Rattus norvegicus: one gene and its partners. The protein of the gene in region 1 interacts with the protein of each later gene in a pairwise test. Links are inferred from orthologs where the notes say so. Each region holds a gene or a part of one and is shown on either strand. Other genes may lie near its edges.

Region 1 (3,645 bases):
ACCCCATTACCTCCAGAATCTACCCCTGCACCCCCTCCTCCACCACCTCCACCTCCACCTCCAGGTGTAGGCAGTGGCCACCTGAACATTCCTCTCATCTTGGAAGAGCTGCGGGTGCTGCAGCAGCGCCAGATTCATCAGATGCAGATGACTGAGCAAATCTGCCGCCAGGTGCTGCTACTTGGCTCCTTAGGACAGACAGTGGGCGCCCCTGCCAGTCCCTCAGAGCTACCTGGGACAGGCACTGCCTCTTCCACCAAGCCCCTACTGCCTCTCTTCAGTCCCATCAAGCCTGCCCAAACTGGCAAGACACTGGCATCTTCCTCCTCGTCGTCCTCCTCCTCAGGGGCAGAACCACCTAAGCAGGCTTTCTTCCACCTTTACCATCCACTGGGATCCCAGCATCCCTTCTCTGTAGGAGGGGTTGGGCGAAGCCACAAACCTACCCCTGCCCCCTCCCCTGCTCTGCCAGGCAGCACGGATCAGCTGATTGCCTCACCTCATCTGGCATTCCCGGGCACCACAGGACTCCTGGCAGCTCAGTGTCTTGGGGCAGCAAGGGGCCTTGAAGCTGCAGCCTCTCCAGGGCTCCTGAAGCCAAAGAACGGAAGCGGTGAGCTGGGCTATGGGGAAGTGATCAGTTCCTTGGAGAAGCCCGGTGGAAGGCACAAATGCCGCTTTTGTGCCAAAGTATTCGGCAGTGACAGCGCCCTGCAGATCCACCTTCGTTCCCACACTGGTGAGAGGCCCTATAAGTGCAATGTCTGCGGTAACCGTTTCACTACTCGGGGCAACCTCAAAGTACATTTCCACCGGCATCGTGAGAAGTACCCACATGTGCAAATGAATCCACATCCGGTACCAGAGCACCTAGACTACGTCATCACCAGCAGTGGGCTGCCTTATGGAATGTCGGTGCCACCAGAGAAAGCAGAGGAGGAGGCAGCCACACCGGGCGGAGGTGTTGAACGCAAACCTCTAGTGGCCTCCACCACAGCGCTCAGTGCCACAGAGAGCCTGACGCTGCTCTCCACTGGTACAAGCACAGCAGTGGCTCCTGGGCTCCCTACTTTCAACAAGTTTGTGCTCATGAAAGCAGTGGAGCCCAAGAGTAAAGTGGATGAGAATACTCCCCCGGGGAGTGAGGGCTCAGCCATCTCAGGAGTAGCGGACAGCGGCTCAGCCACCCGAATGCAGCTAAGTAAGCTGGTGACATCGCTACCGAGTTGGGCGCTGCTTACTAATCACTTGAAGTCAACTGGAAGTTTCCCCTTCCCTTATGTGCTAGAACCCTTGGGGGCTTCGCCTTCTGAGACCTCAAAGCTGCAGCAGCTGGTAGAAAAGATCGACCGCCAAGGAGCTGTGGCAGTGGCGTCTACTGCCTCGGGAGCTCCCACTACTTCTGCCCCCGCACCTTCATCCTCCGCTTCTGGACCTAACCAGTGTGTCATCTGTCTCCGGGTGCTGAGCTGCCCTCGGGCTCTACGCCTGCATTATGGCCAACATGGAGGTGAGCGGCCCTTCAAATGTAAAGTGTGTGGCAGAGCTTTCTCCACAAGGGGCAATTTGCGCGCACATTTCGTGGGTCACAAGACCAGTCCAGCTGCCCGGGCCCAGAACTCCTGCCCCATTTGCCAGAAGAAGTTCACTAATGCTGTCACTCTGCAACAACACGTTCGGATGCACCTGGGGGGCCAGATCCCCAACGGGGGTTCCACACTTCCTGAAGGTGGGGGAGTTGCCCAGGAAAACAGCTCTGAGCAGTCTACAGCCTCTGGACCAGGAAGTTTCCCCCAGCCGCAGGCCCAGCAGCCATCTGCAGAAGAGGAGATATCTGAGGAAGAAGAAGAGGATGAGGAAGAAGAGGAAGATGTGACAGATGAAGATTCCCTAGCAGGAAGAGGCTCAGAGAGTGGGGGAGAGAAGGCCATATCAGTACGAGGTGACTCAGAAGAGGTATCTGGGGCAGAGGAGGAAGCGGCAACATCGGGAGCAGCACCCACCAACGGGAAGGAGGTAGATAATAACGAGAAAGCCACTCAACAGGCTCTGCCGCCACCTCCACCACCACCCGACAACCTGGATCGTCCCCAGCCCATGGAGCAAGGACCCAGTGATGTTTCCGGAGGCATGGAGGAAGAGGCCAAACTGGAGGGAACCTCAAGCCCGATGGCGGCACTCCCGCAAGAAGGGGAGGGCACCAGCACCCCTTCGGTGGAAGAGCTGAACTTACCAGAAGCCATGAAAAAGGAGCCAGGAGAGAGCAGCAGCAGAAAGGCCTGTGAAGTTTGTGGCCAGAGCTTTCCCACCCAAACAGCTCTGGAGGAGCATCAGAAGACCCACCCCAAGGATGGGCCGCTCTTCACTTGTGTCTTCTGCAGGCAGGGCTTCCTCGACCGTGCCACCCTCAAGAAACACATGCTGTTGGCTCACCACCAGGTACCGCCCTTTGCACCCCACGGCCCTCAGAATATTGCTACTCTTTCATTGGTCCCTGGCTGTTCCTCCTCCATCCCTTCTCCAGGGCTCTCCCCATTCCCTCGAAAAGACGACCCCGCCATCCCGTGAGCCTGTGTTCTGTACCTGATCCTCTATGACCGCGAGATCAGAAACCAAGAGCTCCATAGAAGGACCTCCAAGATTTAGTCACCCTTCTCTTGTCTTTTCTCAAGTTCTGACATGATGTTTCTTCTAGTGGCTTCTCTCTAGTCCCTGAGCTTGACAATTGCATTTGAAAGGGAATGTCCCCTAAGAAATTTTTATCACCTTTTTGTTCTATATAACTTTTACATTCTCAAGGGGGAGCTCTCTCCTCTTCCCCCTTTCCCTCCGGCAGGTATCCTAGAACCCCCATCTTTGGCATGGCAGCCTTGTTCAAAGGGGCTGGCAACTGTCCATGGAAGGCCCAGCTCTATTCCTTAGTGATCTTGACCAAGACACCCTGCAAGACTTTCTTGGGCCAGGACCTTCTTGAAAAGCTTGTGAGGAGTGGTAGGTAGGTTTCTTTCTGCAACCACTACATAGTTTCCCACTGAGCCCTGGAGTTCTAGATCGACCTGCCTTGCCACTTGAGCCCTAGCACCATCATTGCTGTGAAAGCCCAGGAACTGTGCTTGATAAGGTGACTCCAAGGACCTGATCCGAGAGGCAGAGACTCCAAGGACCTGATCCGAGAGGCAGAGGAGAACGTAGCCTCCGTCCTACTTCAGCCGCCTGTAGCTGAGGCTGTGCCCAACAAGCACACCAGAGGAAAGAAGTAACTGTAACTTCTTCTTCCCCCTGCTCCAGAGGATACTGGCAATGAAGATACTCCAGTAGTTGGTGGCTCACCCTAATCGGTAGGGACTCGCAAAGGACTGGGATCCCTTTTTCAGTATGTTCCTCGACTCACCACATTAAGGCAAAGAGAGTGGCTGGTCAAGATGCCAAGACTCCCTCAGCTTCTCACTTATCAAGGCCTCTCAACCAACAAGCATATTCCTTACCAAGAGGCCTCTCGTGTGATATTTTAGGAAGCATAAAGTTCCTGACTCTAAAGAGCCTCGTTGGTAAGGCAGTTTATTTAAGTGATGGTGGAGGGTCGAGGATTGTTGCTAAAATAGGCATTGCTGAGAATCTACTTGATGAAGAACCGACTTGATGGAA
Region 2 (4,152 bases), on another chromosome or scaffold:
TTTTTAAAATTTAAAAACATTTTAAAATACTGTGTCTGTAAGTACACGCAGTACTTACAGACGTGGGTTCAGATATTCTCTTTGGCCAGAATGGGTGTCAGGGACCCTGGACCTGGAGTTATAAGCCATTCATTGTGAGTATGTAAGAATTCTATCCTCTGTAAGCCACACAGGCTCTAATTACGGAGCCATTTCTTTAGCCCCCTCCCCTCAAGCTTTGTTGTTCTTGTTGATTTGTTTATTTCTTGCGGGGATAGGTGTCTTTCAGGCTGGGGCTTCCTGCCTCACGATTGGAATGCTGGGAATACAATCTTGGTCAAACCACTCCCACCCAGACTTCCGCAGGTCGGTAATCTCAGGTCGTTCTCTTTTTCAAACTTCTGTCTTATTTAATGCTCTTAGTATATGCACGTGTTTCTAGCTATATTGTAAACCTTGATGACTAAACAAGGACAATTCTACTACTGCCTTTTAGACAACGATCTGCTCTCTAATGCAATTGATTGCCTAGATCAACACGGACCCAAACTACATAAAAACACTTCAACGGATAAAACTTAGGGATTCCCCCGGTGCCACTTATGTGCAATGTATCTGCAATGTACAAACGTTACAGTTGCCAGGCAACGAAGGCTTCAGCTAGCAGGCAGGCCTTGATAGAGCGGACAAATGTGCTAATTTGGACCGCCGCCTCTAAGGATAACCAACTTGTTTGTTGGTTTGTTTTTTTCAGGCTTAAAGCCTGAAGCAGAAACACGTGCCCGGCTCTCCTAAGGCCAGGTGGCGCTTCCCGGGTCGGGGTGGCGACAGCGCCAACTCAAGTGGAGACTCACCATCAGGAGTGTGAAGTTCTTTAGGTCGGGGACCGACTCCCCGCAGGGAACGAACATGACTGCAGTGGGCGTAAGAGAAGCTGGAGCGCTGTCCGGGACAGCTAGGATACCTATCCTTAGGATAGAAGGCGGAACTCGCGATCCGCCCGGGTCCTTCGGGTCCTTCGGGTCCTGTAGGCGTCCGACGCACTGCCTGCGCTCAGTGCTGAACGAGGCTCGAACGCTCGGCAGGCGGCGTTCCCCGGGGTCGTAGGTCGAGGCCCTGCGACAGAGGACGTGGGAACCGCGCGTGCGGGACCCGCGAGGAGGCGGCGCGTTGGACCGCGTCGATCAGGCAGCTGGCAGGCCAGCCCCGGCGACTGTCAGTCCGCCCGGTTTGAAGACAGTTAGTTGTGGCGCCGCGGCTGCAGGGTTCCCGCCCTGCCAGGTCTGACGCGGCCGCGGCGCTTTGTGCTACGCCCGCCACCGATGCTGCGCGGCCGGGACGACGGGCTCCGTGGCTGCACCGTGTGAGACGGAGAGTAGCGGCCGGGAGGCGCCAGTGCCGGCATGTCGCTGCCTCCGGAGAAAGCCTCTGAGCTGAAGCAGCTCATCCACCAGCAGCTGAGCAAGGTGAGGAGCTCGGGCGGACGGGACCGGAGCCAGGGCTGTGGAGCGGGCGCCGGCGGGCAAGCTTCGGTTGGGCGTGTGACCCGAGGGAGCGCTGAAGGCTCTTTAGCTAGAGTGGAGGAGAGCCGCTGTAAACCGGAGGCGGTCCGGGCGCTTTCCAGATGTTCATGTACAAGTAGTCCGAGGCCAGATGTTTAGGGTTTCTTTACGCCTGGAAGCCCGATCGCAGTAAGTTATGGGAGACAGGGCGCTCCAATGACTGACAAGGAACGCGTTTACCCGGCTCGGGGCTTTCAGGAGAACCGCGACTTCCCAGCAGCAGCGCCCGACTGCTGGCCGTAAGCTGAAGTAATAAAGCTTCTTTATGGTGTGTTGGTGCGCCGGTGTTTGCGTCTCTAGCGTCTTTTGGCGAATCCTCAAAACAATCTCGCTTTTCCATCGGATGGGCAAGGAGATAGACGGACAAATTAGAGTTGCAAGTTGAATAAGTGAGAAGGCTGAAATAACTCGCTCTTTGTTCTGCCTCCTTCTAGGTCTGTGTTCTTTTGATTGTCCTCCACTCCCTCTCTTAAGAATTGTTTTCATTGAATCATTTGCGGGCAACCAGCAATAAAGGTTGATAACCAACCAGTTCAGATTGTTTCTAGTATGTTGCTCAAAACTTCCACCACTTAAAAAGCTCAATTTTATTGGCATTGGGCACTTGCCATTAGTTTCAGAAGCCTAAAATCTACAAGTGGCGTTTAACTGCTTTATAATGTTGTAAATTGTTTTTGTGCGGTTTTTTTTTGTTGTTGTTGTTGTTGGGTTTTTTGTTTTGTTTTGTTTTTTGAGACAGGGTTTCTTTGTGTAGTTTTTCTGGCTGTCCTGGAACTCTATAGACCAGGTTGGCCTGGAACTCCAGAGATCCACCTGTCTCTGCCTCCCGGGTGCTAGAAATAAAGGCATGCACCATCACCACCAGGTATAATTTTGTAAATTGTAATGTGGGGTTTTCTCCACAGATGGATGTCCATGGCAGAATAAGAGAAATTCTTGCCGAGACTATACGAGAAGAATTAGCACCTGACCAACAACATTTATCAACAGAAGATCTGATCAAAGCTCTCAGACGTCGAGGAATCATTGATGATGTAATGAAAGAGCTTAATTTTGTGACTGTGAGTAATTTCCTAGGTTAAACAAATTGAAAGTGTAAAATATTTGCCTCTGTCTAACAATTTACAGGGTCCACACTTGTGGCTTCTCTTAAAACCACCTTAAGTTCATTCTCTGGTAATAGCCATTTTTCTTAGATTTTTAAGAAGACTTGATGTGTATGGCTGTTTTGGCTACATGCTGGTCTGGTGCCCACAGTGTTCAGGGTGGCCTGTGATCCTCTGGAACTGGAATGAGCCACCATCAAGATATTGGGGGAACTGATCTCAGGTCCTCTGGAAGAGCAAACGAGTGCTCTAAATTGCTGAGTCATCTCTGCCGTCTCCATAATGTTCTGCCCTCTGGTGCTTTTGGTTTTTTTTGAGACAGGTTTTCTCAGTGTAGCTCTGGCTGGCCTGAAACTCATTTTATAGACCAAGGATGGCCTCAAATTCACAGAGATCTCCTGTTGTCTGCCTCCCGAGTGCTGGGACTAAGGCATGTGTCCACAGTCAATGCCTGGCTCCTTTTCTGAGTGTTTAAGTTGGCCCCACCGTGAGTTGGCTAACAGAGATCATAAGATAGGAGTTGTTGGACAGTATTTCTCTGACGTGACAGAAACTTCTGTCAGATGTGTCAGATTCCTTCGATCTCTAATTTATTTAGGTTAGGTCTGTTTTAAAACAGATACACTCATGAAATTCCGTAAGAAAAGAGCTGGCGACATAAAACCCCTCATTTCTCTGTACAAATAGGTCAGTAATGGGATATCTCCCAGTGCACTAAGTAGGCAGGCCTTATTTTGAAAATGAGGCAATAATGAAAAACTGTGACCTCAATATAAGAGTAATATTCTACTAAAAATAGAATGGACTTCATAATACTCCAGAGAGTTGGGTACTTTAATACACTATCCTTTTTTGGGTTTTGAGGTTTGCAAACCTATTTGTTATTAAAAACTGACCTATTAACAGCCTCTGCTGCATAAATGTTACTTTTTAAAAATCAGTTCATGGCGGGCTGGAGAGATGGCTCAGCAATTAAGAGCACTGACTGCCCTTCCAGAGGTCCTGAGTTCAATTCCCAGCAGCCACATGGTGACTCACAACCATCTGTAATGGGATCTGATGCTCTTCTGGCATCACAAGTGTGTCAGAAGACAGCAGCAGTACTCTTATTATGCTGGCTGTCCTAGAGCTCACTGTGTGCCAAGACTGGCCTTAAACTCACAGATCCATCTGCCTCTGCCTCCCAAGTGCTGGAAGTGAAGACATGTGCCACTGTGCTCACACAAATGCTCTATGGGGTTTAAAAGAAGTTTAGCCTTATTTAAGGTATCGATTTGTTTTTTAAAGGCAGGCTTGGCATCCCGTTCCAGCACTCAGGAGGCAGAGATAGGCAGAGCTCTCTGAGTTCAAGGCCAGTCTGGTCTACATGTTTTAGCATTTAGTGAGTGACAAGACTTAAAGACTATTGAATCCCTTCATTTTAGACTGTTGCTAGTTAAATCTCTTTGACATGGGTATTATTTTCATTTTAACTAGGCTAGAAAAATAAAGGCTTTGGTTTGATT
Region 3 (3,639 bases), on another chromosome or scaffold:
ATTCAGGCAGGGCTTGATAGCCAAGACAGGACAGGACGTGCAGACTGCGAGCCCGGGTTCTAAGAGGAAACACTAATGGAGCCCCCTTTGTAGGGGTTTCTCATCCTCTACAGTTTCTGGCTGGGGTTGAGTTAGGATTTGTGGCTCTGGCAAGGTACCAGACTCATGGCCTGCATACCTCTGCCCTCAGGAAGCGTCCCCTGTGACGAGCTGCGCCTGACCTTCCCAGTTCGGGATGGGGTGGTCCTGGAGCCCTTCCGCCTGCAGCACAACCTGGCTGTGAGCAACCATGTCTTCCAGCTCCGAGACTCTGTGTATAAAACCCTGATGCTGAGGTCAGTCTCACTACCGTCCTGCCCCTGGGCCGTGGCTGCACAGTGCGGGCTGCCATCGTCTTCTTCCCTCCTAGACCTGACTTAGAGCTGCAGTTCAAGTGCTACCACCACGAGGACCGGCAGATGAACACCAACTGGCCGGCCTCGGTGCAGGTCAGCGTCAATGCCACACCCCTCAGCATCGAGCGTGGAGACAACAAGACCTCGCACAAGCCCCTCTACCTGAAGCATGTGTGCCAGCCGGGTCGCAACACCATCCAGATCACCGTCACCGCCTGCTGCTGCGTGAGTGGCCTGTGACGCTGTGGGCAGGGGTCTGGCAGGGGCCAGCTGACACCCCCGGATTATCATCTCCTATGGGGTTGGGAGCCTGTGGGTGACGGTCTTTATCCGTGAGAAACAAGATATTGCTTTTCTTCCTACTTTACTTAAGAAAAGGGAAAATGTACCCTCTGTTACATTAAAAAGATTAATGCTTCTGTTAATTGTGTCAAAGAAACCAAGAAAGCTCATGGAAGATGTTCCGCCTGCACTGGTCTGGGCCTCACCAGGTTCCAGTGGGCAGGATCCCAAGTAGACCTTGAGCTACCAGGAGCCATGCTGGTTGAGGGGGCATGGAGAGAGGGGGGCTCAGAGCCACATCATGCCAGGAGTTCCAGGAACTTGAGGTGATTGTGCTTTGACAGAAAACTAGCAGTGGTTGAGGAATATTAGAGTGCTCTGTGGAGACTGAGATAGTGTGGTGACAAAATAGAAAAGCCTTGCCCATGTGTCAACACTCAGGAGGGCCTGGCCGCCAGGAAGGTGGCTGGCTTGGCTTTCTTCCACACCACACTCCTCCCTCTGTGCCTGGCACCCCTTGAATGAACTCCTAGACATGTCCTCTGAAGCATGCCCACTCACTCTTCATGTAACATTCCTTATTTTCTTGCAGTCCCACCTCTTCGTGCTGCAGCTGGTGCACCGTCCGTCTGTCCGCTCTGTGCTGCAGGGTCTCCTCAAGAAGCGCCTCTTGCCAGCTGAGCACTGCATCACCAAGAGTGAGTGCTGCTTTCTATTCCTCAGCCTCCTGTGCTGTGCCCAGGCTGAACCCTGCCTTGTGGCCCAGAGGCCATTTCCGCTCAGACTGGTGGTTCTTCCCCAGGGGCACTGGGTACCTCCAGGCTACTCCTAGGAGCCTTTGAGCAGTGACTGGGTCCCTGGTTAGCTCACGGTGCTGGGGACCTTTACTCAAGTGCTTTCCCTGTCAATGTCAGTAAAGCGGAACTTCAGTAGCGGCACCATCCCTGGCACCCCTGGGCCCAATGGAGAGGATGGGGTGGAGCAGACGGCTATCAAGGTGTCCCTGAAGTGCCCCATCACCTTCCGCAGGATCCAGCTCCCAGCTCGTGGTCACGACTGTCGCCACATACAGGTATGTGGTCCCTATAGACATTTGTTGAAATTTGTTGTCCTTAAGATATCTTGAGCTTGTGGAGAAACCAGAAAGGTGCTTCCGTATTTACTGGAATCTAGGTGCAAACTGAGAAAACTGCTTAGTAATATTAAGAAGAAAGAACAGTGGGGGAAGGGCATTTGGAGGGATAACCAGGGAGGGGATAGCATTTGAAATGTAAACGAATAAAATAACACAGGACCCCTGGGAGAGGAATACTTCCAGCATTCACCCAGCTGAGACGCACACTAGTACCGGCAGCTGCAGAGCCTGTAAAAGCTTCAGATAAAGGCACATTTACCTGCGGTTCACAGACAGACTCAGCCTGGTGTGGATCTGCACCTGTAATCCCAGGTCTCAGGGCCTGAGGCACTGGGATCTTAGGTGGAAAGCCAGTCTGGGATACATAATGACAATCTGTCTCAGGTGTCTTTTTCCCCTTGAGATGGGACCTCAGGTATCCCAGGCTGACCTCAGGCTCACCATGTAGCTGGGATGAACCTGAATTCCTTCCTAATCATCTTGCCTCAGGCTCCCACACTCTGAGATGGCAGGCAGACACTCAATTCTCAACCTCATCCTCTTTGTCGGGTGGGACACCAGTATCTCAGCTGGCAGAGATAACCTAAAAGACAGACCCACCATAGGGGCCTGGCCTCCTTGCTCACTCCCCAGCCCCCGAGATGCGTTTTGCTCCTTTGAAACATAATCACAGTTTCCCCTACATATGTGCATCTGTCTGTTTGTCTGTTTGTTTGTTTGTGACATGTAGCTCCAGCTGTCCTGGAATAATCCTTTGTAGACCAGGCTGGCCTCAAACACAGAGGTCTACCTGCCTATGCCTCCCGAACACTGGGATTAAAGGCGTGTAACACCCAGCCTGTCCTGGGTGAAGAGGTTCCTTATGCATAGTGCTTTGGTTCTAGGGCAACACAGTGCTGGGGAAGGTTGCTTGGGGTATCCCAAGCTGGGTCTGTTAAAGGCAATGCTGTGGTAGAAACCCCATACCTTAAATACCAACCTAAAGAAGTCATACTTTTCTGAAGACTGTCTAACAACCCTGTCCACTGAGGTGGTGAGAATGGCCTCTCTCCCTGTCTCTGCAGTGCTTTGACCTGGAGTCATACTTACAGCTTAACTGTGAGCGGGGGACCTGGAGGTGTCCGGTGTGCAAGTAAGTCAGTCTGGTTAGACCTGTGGCTTCCTCAGAGGGTGAAACACAAAATAGCATCAAGAAGGGCTCCCTAAGCCTGAGCAGACCATCTCAGGGCAGAAAGTGCCTACTAGGTGGCCTTGCACAGCACCTCTCACACTGAACTACCATAGTGGTTTATCCAGGGTCACCTCGCATAGGGGCCGGTCACCTGACACATGCCATGAACAGTTGCACACAGGGGCCCTTACAGAGTCACCTCACAGAGGTAATAGAGCTGGAAAAGTGATAGGGTCTACACCCCACTAGGCTCGGCTCCCTAAACAGTGTCCTTTGCTTTCTACAGCAAGACGGCATTGCTGGAGGGCCTGGAGGTGGATCAGTATATGCTAGGCATCCTGATTTATATTCAGAAGTAAGTGTCTTCCTCCTGCTACCCCTCATCTGTGGCCACCAGAGGGCAGTCCTGGAGTAAGTGCAATCTTCGGAGCCTCTTCCAAGGTGAAGCAGCTCCACTCGGCCAGTGCCTGCTGCACATCTGCCAAGTGCCCTGCAGGCTTCTGGGTGCAAGAGTGAGCAGAAGGCCTGGTTGAAACCTCCTGACAGCTGAGTAGGGCAGCAGGTGCTAGGCGTGTGGCAAATGACCAGTACCCATCTGTCCCTGCTTAGCTCAGACTACGAGGAGATCACCATCGACCCCACATGCAGCTGGAAAC

What was found.
Region 2: the proteins of Sall2 (region 1) and Cep76 interact in binary tests that used the Homo sapiens proteins (3 or more experiments, as listed by UniProt). The two-hybrid records come from large-scale screens. The link is inferred for Rattus norvegicus from reciprocal best matches to the Homo sapiens genes SALL2 and CEP76.
Region 3: the proteins of Sall2 (region 1) and Zmiz2 interact in binary tests that used the Homo sapiens proteins (3 or more experiments, as listed by UniProt). The two-hybrid records come from large-scale screens. The link is inferred for Rattus norvegicus from reciprocal best matches to the Homo sapiens genes SALL2 and ZMIZ2.

The regions. Positions count from the first base shown.
Region 1 is NC_086033.1:27,495,330-27,498,974, reverse strand, and holds part of Sall2 (sal-like protein 2), read left to right. Parts: coding exon 1-2,568; 3' UTR 2,569-3,645. UniProt on the Homo sapiens protein: Probable transcription factor that plays a role in eye development before, during, and after optic fissure closure.
Region 2 is NC_086036.1:63,475,428-63,479,579, reverse strand, and holds the start of Cep76 (centrosomal protein of 76 kDa), read left to right. Parts: upstream 1-1,221; 5' UTR 1,222-1,382; coding exon 1,383-1,445; intron 1,446-1,849; exon of another isoform or gene 1,850-1,975; intron 1,976-2,446; coding exon 2,447-2,602; intron 2,603-3,657; exon of another isoform or gene 3,658-3,880; coding exon of another isoform or gene 3,881-3,913; intron 3,914-4,152. Other genes in the region: Psmg2 (proteasome assembly chaperone 2), read right to left, coding at 834-890. UniProt on the Homo sapiens protein: Centrosomal protein involved in regulation of centriole duplication. Required to limit centriole duplication to once per cell cycle by preventing centriole reduplication.
Region 3 is NC_086032.1:85,475,255-85,478,893, forward strand, and holds part of Zmiz2 (zinc finger MIZ domain-containing protein 2), read left to right. Parts: intron 1-190; coding exon 191-335; intron 336-409; coding exon 410-620; intron 621-1,269; coding exon 1,270-1,375; intron 1,376-1,591; coding exon 1,592-1,749; intron 1,750-2,876; coding exon 2,877-2,944; intron 2,945-3,269; coding exon 3,270-3,338; intron 3,339-3,592; coding exon 3,593-3,639. UniProt on the Homo sapiens protein: Increases ligand-dependent transcriptional activity of AR and other nuclear hormone receptors.